Kluyveromyces lactis: one gene and its partner. The protein of the gene in region 1 interacts with the protein of each later gene in a pairwise test. Links are inferred from orthologs where the notes say so. Each region holds a gene or a part of one and is shown in the gene's direction. Other genes may lie near its edges.

Region 1 (3,656 bases):
CTGGTTTATATAATCGCGGTCGTCCCTGATAGCGAAGAACCCTGCTTCAGTTATACAGTTACGGATATCCGCACCGTTAAATCCATCACTCATCTTGACTGCAGCTTCAAAGTCAAATTCTCCAGCTTTTTTTACATTGGATGTATGAATCTTGAAGATTTCTAATCTTCCTGCCTCATTTGGTAAACTGATTTCGATTTTTCTGTCCAATCTACCAGGTCTTAGTAAAGCAGGATCTAAAGTGTCAGGTCTATTCGTAGCCATAATAACTTTCGTTTGTCCTAAGTTGTCGAAACCATCCATCTGAGTTAATAGTTCCATCAATGTACGTTGAATTTCACGATCTGCTGAGGTACCTTCGCTAAATCTACGTCCACCGATAGCATCTATTTCGTCCATAAAGATGATACAAGGTTCATGTTCTTTGGCGTATGCAAACATTTCTCTAATGATACGTGCTGATTCACCGATGTATTTATCTACAATACCGGATGCTGGGGAGAAGATAAAGTTGGCACCGATAGTTGCAGCAACTGCCTTAGCCAATAAAGTCTTACCAGTACCAGGAGGACCATATAGTAACACACCCTTAGGTGGTTTGATTCCCACTCTCTCGAAAATTTCTGGGTTCTTTAGTGGAAGCTCAATGACTTCTCTCAATTCTCTGATCTGTTCCGTAAGACCACCGATACCATCAAAAGAGATTTCACCTTGTTCAAAAGTGGTCATATTATAAACTAATGGGTCAGTTTCTCTAGGTAAAATTCTCATAATAGTTAATGTAGTAATATCAAGTGTGACTCTGACACCCTTCTTTAGCTTGGAACGATCAACGGAGTTCCTCACACCCACAATATAACGAGGACCTGATGACGCTTTTACAATGTATTTTTCCTCGGAAAGTTCCTTCATAACTTCCCCAATGAGTTGGCCAATCGACTGTAACGCCTTGATATCCTGTTCTGTTCTCTCATATTCTGCTTCTAGTACCCGTATGGTTTCTCTGCGTTGCTTCAACATATCGTCGTATCGTCTGTGTTCCATAAGTCTTTTCTTAAAATGTAACATCGCTTTTTCCTTTGCAGCCTGTTCTGGATCCACAGGCTCCACCGTTTCAGGTGCGGCAGCGTTATTTTCTCCCGAATTAGAGTTGGTACCAGCTCCGTTAGTGTCATCACCATCGTTTTCTTCCATTGCTGCTAGTAAAGGATCCTGTTCTTGAGACATCTTTAGTATTTATTCTGATCAGACTAGCTTAATCTTCCTATTCCTGCTTCTCAATATGAAAGGAGAAAAATCCCGTACCTTTATTCTGTCAGTATTCCTTCCTGGTTGGACTAGTACTGTTATAATGGATTGACTCAACTCAATTGGTTGGATTTGGCCTTTCTTACCTATTCTCTTCATTTGGACTATGGGTTACTAGATTGAATGGTGGCAAAAGCATTCGGAATCTACTAAATAGAAAGGGAGATCATTACGCACGATTTTGAAATTTTCAGGAATAAAGCTTTTCAATATAAGATGGAGTATTGACTAACCTAAGCATCACGTAGGATGATGACCTGCCACGGTACAGTTTGAAGATATATAGTGGGTTCTACGTTTTATTGATGCGTTGATCTCCAGATAAGACAGTTTAATATTCCCAGAATAGTACAGAACAATGGATTTTCAAGCTTTTATATTCTGTGGACGTGGTGCGAAGCTAACACCGTTTTCCAATGTTCGTGGAGACACTGGTGTTCCCAAAGCTCTATTGCCGGTTGCAAACCGCTCCATGATTGAGTTCGTACTAGATTGGTGTGAGCAAGCCCAATTTAAAGAGGTCAATCTAGTTATTGACGCATCCGATGCTGACGAATTAGAGGAAAGTTTGAAAAAATACCGTGAAGTGAGAGGGCATTATTTTGGACTGTTATCCCAAAGCGTTGGATCGAACCATGCTCACTATTTGAAAAAACCATCTCCTATTAATATTATACCCTCAAAATGTGAGAATACAGGAGAATGTCTGAAGAATGAATTGCTAGATAAGATAACTGGAGATTTCGTGTTGTTACCTTGTGATTTCATCACAGACATTCCACCACAGGTGTTTTTAGATCAGTATTTGAATAAAGATCCGGAGAATCTAGCTATGGCAGTATATTATCACAATGGGTTTGAGAATATCGATAAGAAGCATTTAAAGCAATTCCTGACTGTATACTCCGAGAATTTGGAGTCTGTTAGTAAGCCCGTTCTTCTAGACGTTTATTCCAAAGACGATGTGGACAAAACGAAATATTTACAAATCAGATCCCAAATGCTTTGGAGATATCCGAACTCCTCTGTATCCACAAAATTACTGAACTCCTTCATTTACTTTTGCTCTCATGAGTTAGTAAACCTATTGAAGGATGAAACCGAGAAAGGTGCTGGAGAATTAGACTCTGATTCGGAAGCCGTTGATTCTTTGGCCACATCATTCCAGAACACGTCTTTCTTGAAGGGAAAGAAGAAATTAATCAAAGATCCAATAAACTGTAATAAATCGCTAGGCAAGCTATTCAGGGATTTGTCTAGGCGTTCGTGGCAGCATGTGAAACCCAGAGAAACTATAGGTATCTTCGTGTTACCTGAAATCGGATTATTTATCAGATCAAACAGTTTGAGTGCATACATGGAATCCAATAGGTACGTTTTGAAGATTAAACAAACGGCGATTCAACAACGCACTACTGATGGTTCTTCTGCTATCGGTGCAGATTCTATGGTTGGTAACAATTGTGCAATTTTGGAGAAAACCAATATTAAACGTTCGGTCCTCGGTGACAATTGTAAAGTAGGAAAGCGATGCCGTATCGTTGGGTGTGTTGTGCTTGATAATGTTGAAATTGATGATGAAACCCAGCTAGAAAATGTCATCATCGGTAGAAATGCAAAAATCGGCAAGAAATCAAAGCTTACAAATTGTTATGTTGAGGGCTCTTATATTGTCAATGAAAAATCCACTCTCAAGGGTGAAACTTTGACAAGTATTTACATAGATGACGAAGATTACGCATCCTCTTTACTGGATTCAGATTCATCTGGATCCGAGTCTGATTACACTGATGAATATTATGACGATGAGGATTATGTTGATGATGGACTCTTCGACCGTTGAACTTCGGTAAATTATTATAAATAGAGTATTTTTGCATATATCATGATCAAATAGCCGTACCATGTGTACCTTAATAATTATAGAAATCTGATAACTAATCTTCTGAGCTTGTGTAAACTTCTTGAACGGATTTCTGAATATTTACAGTTTATGTTTACAAAATAATTGATGATTTTCGTTCTGAATTAAATACATAATAATAAATTACTATTCACAAGTAAGATTTTCCTGATGTTGAATGAATGTGTGAAATTATGCTGAGAGTTGTTTCTTATCTTCAAAGAGCCAGTCCCAACGGTCCTTTTTATGCAAAATTGCTAAAATCAATACTGCCGGCAAATGTAGTACACTGACCCAGAATGTTCTCCTCGCATAAACGTTGGCCATTGCCAACCCTTTGTTGAATTCTGTCTTGTTATTGTATATCTCCTTGGAGTAATTACGCTTTTGCTGGAAATAAAACTTGAATGCCCATAGTGACATCCAAGCATTAACAAATGCTGAA
Region 2 (3,141 bases), on another chromosome or scaffold:
TGGTAGATTTGCAGTGATCCCATGAATTACCAATAAATTGATTAGGGTATCAAAATCCTTCATATCATGTAATGAGATCGGTATTATGTCCGCATTTTCTTGTTGTTTTTCTGCGACTAGACTACATAATCTAGTCAAGAACTTCGCTAATTTTTCTATAAGTTCCTTGTTGCTTAAGTTTAATGATTCGTAGATATCACCAATATCGTCATTATGTTTTATAGGTTTAAGGAATTCATCTAACTCTTGAAAGAATGCATCAATTGGAGTATCGCTTACGAAATCAAGCTTCCTAGATAATACTTCTGTCAATTTATTTGACATTTTGTGAAACCGATGTCAGGTCTTGAAGGCGCAGCTGACACTCTCCCGATGTAGGCGTGATCATGTTGTTCTAAAGAGAGGTGCTCAGAGATGTCCTGAATTATATTTAAAGCCTTTAGCACATCTATTTCGGAGAAAAAGAAAAAGTAACCTTTTAACATGAAAAATTGAAAAGTTCACAGAATTTGGATTATGAGATGAGATGAGCTAAGATATGAACAGAGAACAGGAAAACTACGCAATCAAGCCCAAAATACAGAACGAAATTATTGTAAGATGAGTCTACATACAGGACCTTTAGATCAAGAAGATCAAGAAGCTATCATCGTTGATGCAAGAGCTGGAGATTTGGAGTCTCTTAAGGATATTTTTACCACTTTGATAGATCCAAGTGCACTCATTGAATGTACAGATGAATTGTCTAAGTCATCTGCCTTGCATATGGCAGCCGCCAACGGTCATTTCGAGGTGGTAAAATATCTACTAAGCATTTTCCCAAAGGATAAACTAAAGGAATGGGTCAACAAGCAAAACGAAACAGGTAACACTGCATTGCACTGGGCTTCGTTGAATGGTAAATTGGATATAGTACAGCTTCTTTGTGAAGAGTATGAGGCTGATCCATTCATCAGGAATAATTTCGACCATGATGCCATCTACGAAGCTGAAAACAACGGACAAGAAGAGATAGAAACATATTACTTGAAGAAGTTCGACGTGGAACCCGAATCGACCGAAAATGAGGAAGAAACTTCATCGGAAAAGGAAGGAGAACAAGCCTCACAGCCCGCATCTATCGACAACGTCCAATTTAGAGAAGGTACAGAGATTGAACAAGTGACCAAAGAAGCTACAGAAGCTCTAAGAGAGCAAACTGAAAAGCTTCAACTAGAATAAGTTTCCTCTGAAAATGAACCGTGGTCAAAAAAAAATCATTCGGCTGGAAAGCTGTATTGTGGCCAATTTGAGCATAAAATATGAACCAAATGTCCATGTACATAACTGTATACTAATCATCAATAAACATAGGTACACCTACCTCATGCGCCCAACAAGCGGAGTTTTATCTAACCAGACTCAAAGGCCAAAGAATAGATAAGTCACGTGTGTTACCCGAACACTGAACGTGCACAATGACAACACTATCGCGTGGCCTGGGAAAATTTTGAAAATAGTGAGTTTTCGGAAAACCAAGAGAATTGAAACGACTGGATCGCAATTGTCATCGCTATTCAATATCCTATTGGATTCTTCAGCTCATATTTGCACAAGGGTAAGACAACTTCTGTGGAAATCTGTTGGCAAGAGTCTAGTTCGTGTAAAGTTCAAGGCCCTTTCCGTTATTACTAAGGAGATTAGCAAGAAGCGAGAAGATACAAAGATACTCAACGATGACTGATGTTGCGGCCGACTTAGGATTCGATCCAACGATGAAGAAGAAGAAGAGCAAGAAGGTAGTTCCGGAAGAACTGATTGCTGCTTCCACCGAGGGAACAGATGATCTTTTTGCTGGTTTGAAGAAGAAGAAGAAGAAGAGCAAGGAAGGTGAAGAAACCACTGAGAAGCAAGTGGACGACATTTCAGATGCTCTAGGCGAATTGAAGTTGAAGAAAAAGAAGAAGAAGGCTGCTGCTGCCGAGAGCAGTGTGGATGACTTTGAGAAGCAATTAGAACAAGCAGGTATTTCAGTCGATGATATTGCCAAGGAGGCCACTCCAACTGAAATCGATTCTAGCATTCAACAAGATGTTGGCCTACCATACCAAGACCTATTGTCTCGTTTCTTTAAGATTTTGAACACAAATAATCCTGAATTGGCCGGTGATAGATCAGGTCCAAAGTTCAAGATCCCTCCACCAATCTGTCAAAGAGATGGTAAGAAGACTATATTTGCGAACATCCAAGAAATTAGTGAAAAATTACAAAGATCCCCAGAACATGTAATCCAGTATCTATTTGCGGAATTGGGTACCTCAGGTTCTGTTGACGGTCAAAAGAGATTGGTCATCAAGGGTAAGTTCTTGCCAAAGCAAATGGAAAATCTATTAAGAAGGTATATTCTGGAATATGTCACCTGTAAGACTTGTAAGAGTATCAATACCGTATTGAAGAAGGAACAATCGAACAGATTGTTCTTCTTGGTTTGTAAGAGTTGCGGTTCTACTAGATCCGTTTCCTCCATCAAGACCGGTTTCCAAGCCACCGTCGGTAAGAGAAAGAGAATGTAGATTAATTGATATGACGTATCAAAATAGTAGTATCATTAACATCTACCGAAAAATCAGAAAAAACTTCGACAATCTTCTAATGTTCAATACGATACAGTTCGAAAGGAATCAAATAAACCTCATAAGGCATAGCTAATATATTCATGGTTGAATATTTTCTCCAGGGAGCATCGCATCGTGCAATTCACACATAACATATGAATAACACCAAATACTTGAAAAGAAATGAGAATAGAAGGTATCTTCATCCTTCTTTCACGTTCATTATTAATTTTTTTTCTGTTTGTGTATGTTATCTAATGGTTTTTATCTAATCTGTAATTTAGTTGTTATAAACAAAACGACGAGATCAATGCTCTAAAAGATCAATTTAAATTTAAGCTCTATAATCTGAAACCCTTCCCCCAGTTAAAATATCATATCTGTGCATTTTCGATCAATTTACGGAAAGAAGGACACCACGAATTCACCGACATATCCGACAGCATCCATTTTGTAATTAAATCTGTAACCCGTTTTGAATCGTTCAAGTTGGCGAATATTTCACTCAACGCATATCTTGTGCCCTCGTTTTCCAATACATTTTCTA

Evidence for each region.
Region 2: the proteins of GCD1 (region 1) and SUI3 interact in binary tests that used the Saccharomyces cerevisiae proteins (3 or more experiments, as listed by UniProt). The link is inferred for Kluyveromyces lactis from reciprocal best matches to the Saccharomyces cerevisiae genes GCD1 and SUI3.

Annotation. Positions count from the first base shown.
Region 1 is NC_006039.1:830,632-834,287, reverse strand, and holds GCD1 (translation initiation factor eIF2B subunit gamma), read left to right. Parts: upstream 1-1,666; coding exon 1,667-3,151; downstream 3,152-3,656. Other genes in the region: proteasome regulatory particle base subunit RPT4, read right to left, coding at 1-1,227; COX10 (protoheme IX farnesyltransferase), read right to left, coding at 3,404-3,656. UniProt on the Saccharomyces cerevisiae protein: Acts as a component of the translation initiation factor 2B (eIF2B) complex, which catalyzes the exchange of GDP for GTP on the eukaryotic initiation factor 2 (eIF2) complex gamma subunit.
Region 2 is NC_006040.1:750,228-753,368, forward strand, and holds SUI3 (translation initiation factor eIF2 subunit beta), read left to right. Parts: upstream 1-1,715; coding exon 1,716-2,552; downstream 2,553-3,141. Other genes in the region: RTP1 (Rtp1p), read right to left, coding at 1-324; YAR1 (Yar1p), read left to right, coding at 601-1,221; ADD37 (Add37p), read right to left, coding at 2,969-3,141. UniProt on the Saccharomyces cerevisiae protein: Component of the eIF2 complex that functions in the early steps of protein synthesis by forming a ternary complex with GTP and initiator tRNA.